Kluyveromyces lactis: one gene and its partner. The protein of the gene in region 2 purifies or fractionates together with the protein of the main gene of each other region. This does not show direct contact. Links are inferred from orthologs where the notes say so. Each region holds a gene or a part of one and is shown on either strand. Other genes may lie near its edges.

What was found. The genes of interacting proteins can lie anywhere in the genome.
Region 1: the proteins of NMD3 (region 2) and RPP0 purify together in Saccharomyces cerevisiae (affinity purification with mass spectrometry; 4 studies listed by BioGRID, with this or other methods). This does not show direct contact. The link is inferred for Kluyveromyces lactis from reciprocal best matches to the Saccharomyces cerevisiae genes NMD3 and RPP0.

Annotation. Positions count from the first base shown.
Region 1 is NC_006038.1:531,029-535,349, forward strand, and holds RPP0 (60S ribosomal protein uL10), read right to left. Parts: upstream 2,979-4,321; coding exon 2,043-2,978; downstream 1-2,042. Other genes in the region: KLLA0_B05885g (uncharacterized protein), read right to left, coding at 1-1,710; ribonuclease P/MRP protein subunit POP6, read left to right, coding at 3,651-4,112. UniProt on the Saccharomyces cerevisiae protein: Component of the ribosome, a large ribonucleoprotein complex responsible for the synthesis of proteins in the cell.
Region 2 is NC_006037.1:457,223-463,812, forward strand, and holds NMD3 (ribosome-binding protein NMD3), read right to left. Parts: upstream 3,896-6,590; coding exon 2,351-3,895; downstream 1-2,350. Other genes in the region: ATG7 (Atg7p), read right to left, coding at 218-2,029; NOP19 (Nop19p), read right to left, coding at 4,151-4,744; ATP-dependent RNA helicase DBP8, read right to left, coding at 4,945-6,252; putative GTPase MTG2, read right to left, coding at 6,538-6,590. UniProt on the Saccharomyces cerevisiae protein: Acts as an adapter for the XPO1/CRM1-mediated export of the 60S ribosomal subunit. Unlikely to play a significant role in nonsense-mediated mRNA decay (NMD).

The sequences.
Region 1 (4,321 bases), on a different chromosome or scaffold from region 2:
TCCGTTGTCGGGCATGGTAGTTAAATATTCTATCCACCCAACAGGTTTTGGTTGAAAGTAAACCGATCCATCATATCGCATAGTGTCGCATTCTATTATAGCTCTTTGAGTAGCATTTTCTTCAGTTAGGATCAATTCCTGGTTTTGGTTAGTTTCCACCTCTTGTGCCTCTCTAGTCGACAAAGATGTTGATACACGTTCTACTATTGTACCGGGATTGGCAACAATTGAGGACGGGTCCATGGATGGTTTAGATATTGCATCTACAATCAGAGTGACGTTCAGTGATTTCACAGAGCTTTCGAACTCAGATTCTGTTAGCAAAAAAGATATGGATCTTTGTAAACTATACAAATCTCTTTGAAACAATCCTGACATTCTTGTCTCTAAGCTATTAGCAAATCTGGTCAATATATCAGTATATTCCCGAGTTGCTAAAGTGTTCATGTTAACACCACGGGTAGAAAATAACATGTCGTTGAATTCATTTATGAACAATTTGGCAAGATTGTACTTGTCCTTGATATTCATTAACGCATCCTCATCGTTGCACTTATCAGCATCTTTATTAAATTGTGTCTCCATCTTTGTTATTAATTCGATGCACCAAGATTGAACTTTTTCTTGCCCAATAAATCTGTCATTTTGATTCCATTTCCAAAATGCTTCTTCCATCCTCATTATTAGATCAGATTTGTCCATCTCTATGGCATTCCAGATAAATCCTTCAAGGCATGGTAATACGTTCTGAGAAGAACAACCCATACTTAGACATGTTTCGAAAATCTTCCTCAACAACGTCATATTCATATGGTACACCAACAAAAAACTGTAACTGACTTTCAAATGTTTCAATTCCAATAATGATAGATTCTGGCCCTGAACTTCAAAGAAAAGACTTTTCAACAATTGTTGTGGCACTTGGGAAACAGTTTGAAGTACTAAGATAGATGCCAAACAATTGCCCCTCCCTTCAACAAATTTACATTCAGAATTATCAATTTCCTCTTTAGCTTTTTTGAGTAGTACTGAGAGAGTATTATCTGGGGAAGCGTTTACAAATCTCGCTACTAGGTCTATACTTTTTTCTAGTACATCCATTTCAATGTCCAAATCTTTAACCTTTTGAAAGATACCTAATACCATATCCCATTGCAAAATGACCTCACCAAGATCTGCTAAACTGTTCTCAATGTCGTATTCTTTGTGTTTGCCTACTATATCTTCTTCGTTAACTAGGAATCCACTTGATGACTCTGTATCTGATAAATCAGGGACATCACCGAGGCAATTAATGAAATCTATGAAATGTGAAGTTCTTGGTTCGAATACATGAAGAATGTCCTCATCAAGCAATCTATTGAGCTTTTTCCAGTAAAACTCCCCTTCGATGATATCTATATTCTCACTGTCTGCCTCTTCACTTTTATTTTGAGTGTTGGAACCATCTTTTAAAGCATTATTATTTTTATCGTAAATTAGTCTGAAAGATTCGTCAACACGAACTGAAAACTTTATCACATCTGAACCATCCAATTTGATACTAGATCCAATAGTAGGATCTTGTACGAATTCTCTTTCATGGTCGAAAGAAACTAGATTATCATCAAGATCCTTATCTTGCTGGAAAGGTTTGAAAAATGACTTCTTCTCAGACAGATCTGAGAGGACTTTATTATCTTGACTTTGACTCCTCACCGATAAAGACATCTTAATCAGACCGCCTGTGTGCTAGTTGCTAAGCTATGCCATCAACTTTGACCAAACTGTTAGTGAACGGTAATCTAGTTTGTGTCCGACGTCAGTTTTTCTTCAAATATTAGCAATAATCTGACCTACACTACTATGGAGCGGACCGCTTAGACAGGCAAAAAACAAATAAATTGTCGCCATGAAGACACGATAATTTGATGCGATAAGATTTGTGCGCTTAAGATAGAAATTAATAAAGACTAACTAAACTTATAGATACAGATTGATCATCTGAAACCGATATGTGAATTTAAAATTTAATTGTTATTGTTTCCATAATTATAAGGTGTTTAATCGAACAAACCGAAACCCATGTCGTCATCAGATTCTTCTTCTTCTTCAGCTGGAGCTTCTTCAGCAGCAGCTTCGGAAGAGCCGGAAGCAGCAGCAACTGGGGCAGCAGAAGCGTAAGCATCTGGGTTCTCAATTCTGTCCTTCAATTCTTCAATTTCTGGGTAGATGTAGTCAGCAGCGATAGCGACAGCCAACAAGTCCTTGTAGTTGTTGATCAAAGAGTGACCGACAGATGGCAAGGTTGGGTAACCAGCAGCCAAGGAAACACAAGCAATGGTGTTGACAGCAGAGATGAAGTGAGAGATCAATTCATCGTCAGTGATATCCAAGATGGAAGCTGGGAAGACTTGACCGTTGTCGTAAACTTGAACGACGGTCAAACCGTAGGTGAATGGAGAAATGTTCAACAAGTTCAACAAAGAAGCTTCAGAAGCACCGACTCTCTTACCAGCGTCAACGACCTTAACGTCAGAGACAATTTCAATGGTACCTCTGGCAATCTTGGTTGGAACACCCAAAGCTTGGAAGAAAGAAGTCTTACCTGGTTCCATACCGGTGTTGACGGCGAGAACCCAGATATCTTCTGGGGCAACAGCACCAGCTCTGGCTGGAGCGGCAACCTTGTTGGCGATGATGACTTCCTTGATATCTTGCAAGGAATCGTTGGTGAAGATGAAACCAACGTTACCCTTGACGAAAGGCAACAACTTTTCGTAGTCTGGGAAGTCAGAGATGAAACCTCTGACAGCTCTTCTGACCATGGTGTTCTTACCCATCAAGACAACAGCTCTGCCTCTCAAGTTCTTTCTGACTTCGTGCATTTGTTGGGAAGACACATTGTCAACACCAACAACGAAGACAGACTTGTATTCTTCCAAGTATTCTCTTAGCTTGGCAAAGTATTCAGCTTTCTTTTCACGGACGCCCCCCATTTCGACTTTTTTAGTGATAGGATGTTTAAGGTAGTACCTGTGGTTCTTGTAAACTATATACAAACTACAAATCTAATCAAGTACTTAACATCCAATTATGTATATTCATATGTAAAGGACGTTTTATCATAAAATTCAATATTTTTCAAGTTTGGTTTCCCTCAGCGATGAAAAATTTGAGATTTTCCAATTTCCAAATTAAGGCCCACATGAAAAACAAACAAGCATCCGTTAATCATACAGAAATAGGTGTAACTCATATGGTATATTATAAAAAAGAAGGAGCTTGAGTGAATGGTATCAGGATGTACCCTCTACGCTTGAAAACCATCTGGTGCTGAGGATTCAATCCATATGCCGGACTTGTTAATACTTTAACGTTGTATTGCTTAATACAACGGGTTTGCATTGTTTAAATGCACGTGACCACTAGTCAAAGAGGAAATTAATTCCTTTGGAGTTTTATCAAGGTGCATGGGTGTTGTGTTGACATTTTTTACATATGTAAGGGTGTAAACAGTCCGCAGAATAGCTTTCATCGTATCAATGCTCATCCCATCTCGTCGAAAAGAAATCTACAATAACTTCCCAAGTTATCGTAGCATTGAGTATTGATAATTCAATCGATGAGAAACTCGCCTTAGTTGAGTAATTAGCTACAAAGCAACAACGATGGCTTCTTCCAAACTAAAATATAACGAAATTGAAGTAGAAGGCATAGATCCTTCCACCTACGTAGAATGTTCGACCTACATCAAAGAAAAAATCATCCCAGAAACCCTGCGAAGTGCAGGTTGGAACAATGCGTCTGAGACATCTGTAGGAGCAATTATTTCGTACAGTAAAAACTCCAATATTAAACAATGTGTGGATCAACTCGCAGCTATCACTGCTGATACATTCGTACTTGTTGCTTATGGAGTTCATGTACAAAAAGCACTTTCGATAATAGAGATCTTCAAGACTACTGAAAACGGGAAAGCACTACATCAATTTAATAAACTAGACTCGTTTATTGAAATCAAGGCTGGACGTAATGAACTATTGGATAGAAAAGTCAACTTGCCTATACTTATTACCTTATTCACTAAACAAGAAGTCAAAAGCCTTAATAAATTCACAAAACAATCGTAACTTCAACGTTGACACAATTTAAAGTATACTGATAACGCTTCCAGTCAAAACATATTGTATATACCTTTGTGATCCGTCAGGGCGGACAGTGAACAAATTCCGATCGTCAAAAAAAATATCGTACCCAATTTATTTGGTAAATAGCTACAATATCGCAATTGCCATGTTCGACCTATATTTCATCTGTATTAGGCAAGCAAGCTTACCTT
Region 2 (6,590 bases):
TATGTAGGTGTACCAAGCCCGTCATGGCGTAATACGCTGCAAATTGTGCAAGACTTATATTTATCTTGGGAATTATAAAACTAAATTTCATCCTGACCGTTAAATCAGAGATAAACACCTTTTCCTAACGACGAATATCGATTTCTACGCTTCATCACAAAAGGAATGCATGTCACATCATTCCACGCATCAGCCTGTCAGATGCACTGGCTATACTTCACTCTATTGACAATTCCTCGTCGTCATCAAAGGAAATATCTTCTTGAATTGCCAATTCAGCCTCCTCTTGCACCTTCGACAGTCCACTTAATTGCTCCACACACTTATAATCATCTAGCGCCTGTTTCACGAAATTCCATCCGTTTTCCTTTAGAGTTAAAATGACATTTTCATTGCTTGCACAACAGTGCTGATATGCCGGTGTTTCAAGTTTTACAGTTTTAAATTCATTTAGAAATCCTCGTATTTGATGCGGAGCTGACCCAAGCACGTTCGTCGAAGGCTGAAGATATGTCACCAATAATTCAACAGCCTGGGAAGCCGCTAATAGGGCAACACCCGGTCTAGTTACAGTACACATCTGATCTAATGTTCTGTCAGTTAGAGAATCACTTGGGGCCACGATATCGTTACAGAAATAGCAACCCAGGTTGTCATTATTGTTGCCATGTCTCATTACCAAATAACTGTCAAAACCAAGGGCCGCATTAATAACTATTTTTTCATGCATTCGTCCAAGCACCGAGGGAAGCCATCTCGTCTCGCGTGCATCCATTAAAAGAAATATAACATCATGCGTCCTTATAAGCTCGTCCAAAATTTCATAATCCTTCCTCTGCTTGCTTTCGTTCGATACAGGATGTCCTATCATTGGTATTTCCAATTGATAACCTGCAGAAACGACAGAAGGAAATATCTTCTTCAGAGAGTCACTGGCAGCTTCGGCCTTTGGTCGCCCACAATCTTCAAAGTTGAATAATGGTTGCCTTACCGGATTAGAGAAAGAGACAGTGCTGTTGTCGACAAAAGTTACATGACGAGTACCCCAAGCTAATAAAGCTCTAGCCACGTAGCAACCTAGGGTACCTGACCCCAAGATCAATGCTTTAATGTTCTTTATTCTTTCTAGATCAATGTCAGGAGCAATCCTCCATTTCATTAGCTTGAGATTGAGATCAATGGATTGTTCTGCTATCTTCACGGGATCCATCAATGAGCTTAAGTCAGCCGATTTCGGAGCTAATTTTCCAAGACCATTTTTCTCCCAACCGCTGACCTTAAGACATCCTGTATTGCTCCCGGTAACTCTGATCTCTGCCGCGAAGCTGGAATTATCATCACGAAGGAAACATATGGTGTACGTATTCCTTGTGGATATTTGACTCCAAACCGTTAGAAAGTTCTTAGTAACTGCGGCAGGAATGCCCTTCAGCCGACTGAAGTCCTTGAAGATGACTTTCTGACATACTTTGAGATACTGAGGTGATGCTTCCTGAATCTTTCCATCCACAACACAGGAGATAAAGCTGTTCTGCTCCCATATATCCTTCTTTACACCATCTTCGATTGATTTTGTTGAGATTATTTCGTACGATGACCCCTCAGACTGGAAAGTAGGCATACAAACCCAATAATAAAACTTATATTTCTTCAAATCGGCGAAGCTTATGACATAAAACCTAACACACTCTTTGAGACCATTCTTGAGGCCCTGTTCTAGTAATTGCTGTCCCTTTTCCTTGATAAACTTTACTTTGTCACAGGATTTGAATGATTCGATAGTATTAAAATTCAACACTGACCCTTTCAAAGTCACTGCCTCATTATTGAGAACAGGATCGAAACTGTCATCTCTAAGCGAGAGTGAAACAGTGTTAGAAGTGATATTTTCAAGGTCTAGTGCAGAGAACAATTCTTTCTCAGCAGAGTCTAACTTGAACACTTCAAGTTTTAATCTTGATAATTCATGGAAAAACGAGGTATCAACAAAAGACTTAAAAGCTGGTGAAAACTTAAGATCGTTAAGCATCTTTCCTGGTACTCAGGTTTTGTTCCATGAAGAAAGAATAGTACTTCTTGGTTTACTTTATTTATCTATGCACTGCAGTTAAGGGTATAGTGTATCAGGGTAGTATTACGAATCGACGTCTTTTTTACAAGAATGAACTAAACTCAGGAAAGCATTGTTACCCTGAAACATGCCAATTATTAATATTCACTAGTGTACACTATACAAGACGGCCATTGTATCATTGATCTAATGCAGATGATGAGTAAATTCAACTAACTTGCCTATCTCGTAAATATATATTGTAATTATTGTCCAAACAAGAAGAGACTAAACCAAATTCTATAGCATTTCTTCACCTTGTTGTTGATCTTCTAAAGTCATCTCATCCAACTCATCTAATAGTTCATCAATATCAATTTGTGGAGCATCTTCATCTTCATCTTCTTCCATCTCGCCTTCGTGCTCTGCTGGTTTGTTGCTCTTATATAGATTGATTGTTTGTCTCATTTCCTCATCTTCCTCCAATTCTTGTAGGAAAATCTCATAATCTCTTTCAGCACGTTCCATTTCTTGTTTCTGTTGTCTTGAAGTGTAGTCTTGAGAAGCTTCGATATCCTTGTGTTCCTTAGCCATTCTCTTCAACTTCCATTTTCTGTTCTTCTTTGTCTTTCTTTGATATAGTTTCTTGATTAGAACGATGTCTGGCACGTAATCAATATTTAAACCATCGAAGAGCTCTGAGTTATAGTTAGAGTTAGCGATAAAGTAACCCATGACACTGTCACCAGGATGAATAATACCACCAAGATGTGTTCTAACGTAATAGACTTGGTCATTGGAGCCTAGATCGGAAGATCTAGCGACAGTAACGTCAGCCAATACCCATTTGTTTCTAACTTGACCAGTAGGTTCAACGTCCAATATGATGAATTCAACTAGTTGGGACACTTCAGCTAATGCACTGAAAGGTTCACGCCAGTACATTGGAGCAGTCAAATCACACGTTTGAAGAGTGGTTGGATCCAGGAACTGGAGAGAGTTAGAAACCTTGGAACAGATGACAAATTGACTGATGTTACCCAAAGACTTGGCAAGCTTCTTAGGTAAAACAACCAAATCATCTCTACAAATTGGAACAATTTCCACGGAAAAAGTGAATTTGTAAGTAGATGAACCGGTATGGATATCTTGAGAGATTAACTCCTCGGATTTTTTACATTTGATAGGTACGACAGCATTTAAGAAATCCAACATCTTAGCAGCATGGTTCTTTTGAGAATAGAAGAAATCTAAACCATCCTTTGCCTCACTAATGGAAATGGTGTCAACATGGGCATTGTGCTTCAAAATCAACTGTTCTAAATACAAGAAAGTTCTCTTATGAGGAACTTTTTGTCTAATTTGGACGTTTGCTCTCCATGTATTAGTGGTATAAGATCTAGCACAGTCCGGACATTGCATGGCAATCACCACATATTCCACTTCAAATGTTTGCTGGATAATAGTGTTAGCCATAGCTTCACCTTGAACGGTCAATTTGACCCGGATACGTCTAGAATGAGGTTCGGTCCAGATAAATGATGCATCCACTAATCGAACTTTGTTTAAGCCTTTCAAACGACGTAAACACAACGCCAAAAGTTCACGAGATTCCAAAGAAGCCCTAATCCATTGGCTTGGTGGTTGCAAGAACCTCTCACAGTTTCTACAGAAAGAAACATTAGCCTCTCTGGGAATACCTTCTGTAATATCGACATTCAACTTAATACAGTCGTAACACATAACTAGCCCTGAGGACCCATCCATAGGCACACCACAACTGCAACATAGCACTGTAGCATGCTGATGTTGCATGTGATTCTGATCTAACGGAGTGTAATTCATCGAGTTCGGTGGATACTTCTGCCCTTGCTGGAATACCTATAATGCAGACATTAATCAGCTTTCAAGCACTATCAGACTGTGCAAGAACAAGATGCGATGAGATGAGCTTTCTCAAAATTTTTCTTAAAAGAGACTGCGAACCCTCAAGAAAAAGAAATTTTGCACGTGACTTTGAACCTTGGATTTATGCATCTATGCATATTAAGCTAGTCTATATACAGGAGAATTACACTTTATAAAGAATGATTAACACGTTCAACGTTTGGATTTCTTTCCAGCAAATAGCAAGCCAAATTGTTTCTTGGAATGTTTTTGTACTTTAGGTTCCATATCTTCTTCATCCGAGGAAGAGTCGGAATGCGATGAAGTCGATTTGGTATAATATTGGTTTTTACTGTGGTCTTTCGAAACATTTGTGCCTCTCGGAAGCTCGTTACGTATCTTCTGTCTTTCCTGATTCCTTATCTTATGTTTTAACGAAACCATAGCCTGGGAGTCGTCTTTCCTCACTCTGTGTATACTGTTTCTCTGTTGCACGTCCTTGGTAGCTCTTTTCTTTTTGGCTAAAGAGCTGACCTTCTTATCACTTTTGATGAACTCTCCAATGGTATGTATATCGGTATCATCAGTACTTTGCGCGTTCTCAAATGATAAACCGCTTCCTATTTGAATGACAGGCAACTGGAAAAATTCCTTCTTTGATTCGTTGCTATCCTCCTTTGCTAGATCATTAGATGACGTCTTAGAATCCTCTATCCATCCGAGCACCTTAGCAGTGGAACTGCTAAACCCATTTTGAAATTTAGCAAGTAGTGCTTGCTTTTCTTTTATCTCCTGAGCTCTTGACATGGCTTGGTGAGTCTGTATTACTTGTTAGATTGTAAGAGTATACCTTTATGGCGGCCGATGCATCTCATCTGGTTCGATCTCATCGCTTCAAAGAATAAGTTACCATTTTTTTTTCAGTGATTACTCTCTAAGGAAGAATCAGAATTCACGTGACTGATTTTTAAATGGAATATGTGGATAGGTCTATCAACTATGTGAGTTTATGTACGTCTATGAGTCTTTTCTTTGGATTCATTCTTTCTCTTTTGGAGTTTCCTTCTTTCACCAAAACCTTCTTTATCCATGGCCATGAGACTTTCTCTTTTTGCTGCTGTAACCTTAGTTAACGACTTCCTAATCACGGCTGTATCACCTACATCGGTGAACTCTTCCATCTTTTTATTAATCCTTTCCTCAATTGCCTCTACTCTTTGAATATCCTTTTCTGTTACAAAACATAGTGATTCACCATGGCGTCCGGCACGCGCTGTACGACCAGCTCTATGAATGAAAGTATCTGGGTTGCCAGGAATATCATAGTTTACAACAAGTTCAACAATAGGGATATCCAAACCTCTAGAAGCGACATCAGTAGCGATAAGAACTCTCGCAGCTTGTGCCCTGAATCTTTGTACAGAGTTCGTTCTTTCTTGTTGTGGCATTTGACTATGAAGTGACGTGACTCTTACATCTAAAGATTTCAAAGTTCTTCTTAAGATTTCAGCCGTTACGGTACGATTAACGAAAATAATGCAACTTGATTTGACGTATTTCTCACTGGTCAATATCTGGTATAAGTATGACTCTTTAACGTGCTCTGGGACTAGCAAATATGTCGTCTCTAATGTCTTCGGAATGGCGACGTTATCAACAGACTCAACCTCAAAAGTAAACACAGGAGGTTTGCCCTCCGTCTGTGGAGCGTCTGATAAAGCTTTCACTTGGTCTGTCATAGTAGCAGTGAAAAGGAGATTCTGTCTTTTGTTTTTCGGTGGTAAAATACTTACACATGTAGCAAGGTCCTTACTGAACGTTTCCGTCAATAATATATCGGCTTCATCTAGTACCAGAAATTTTACTCTTTTTAGCCCTCCAATGGTATCTTCCCCGCTATTCAGGACATGGTGTGCTAATCTACCTGGTGTGGCTATTATGAAATGTGGTCGTTTCTGTAATTCGATAGCTTGTTGCACTATGCTCTCACCACCAACTACTATTGCGACTCTGATGTTCATAGCACTTCCAAATGCTGTGAACTGCTCTGCGATCTGCATCGCAAGTTCTCTGGTAGGTGTTAAGACGATCCCAAACATACCTTGAGGGTCCTCGGACCATTTGGTCAACATCGGAGCTGCAAAAGCAATAGTCTTACCACTACCGGTGTTGGCACCACCTATACAGTCACGCCCTTTCAAAATCTCAGGAATACAAGCCTTTTGAATCGCAGTGGGCTGCACGATTTTCATCGCATTTAATGCTTCCACTAACCATTTTGAACATCCTAAGGACTTGAACTCAGAATTAGACATCTCTTAATATAGATATTATAGTTCTTAGGTACTCTTGGCGAGGTTTATATACAAGTTACTCCTACTAACCACAGCCTTTAGGTCAAAGCACATCTCATCGCATCTGTATAGAAATTTTACATGTTAAAGACTCTTTCCGTTTTCTTTTTTCATTCAAATATGCACCAATATGGGATTTTGGGGGCCCAAAATATTGGATTTCGGAACAATATTCGAACATCGGAACTTAGAAAAAGAAGTAGAGCATGACGTCCAGTAAGGATGTGCCGCTTATTCGTGTTATATCTACAGTTTACCAGCACATTGTGCCATTTTATGCAGGAGTACATCAATATTTT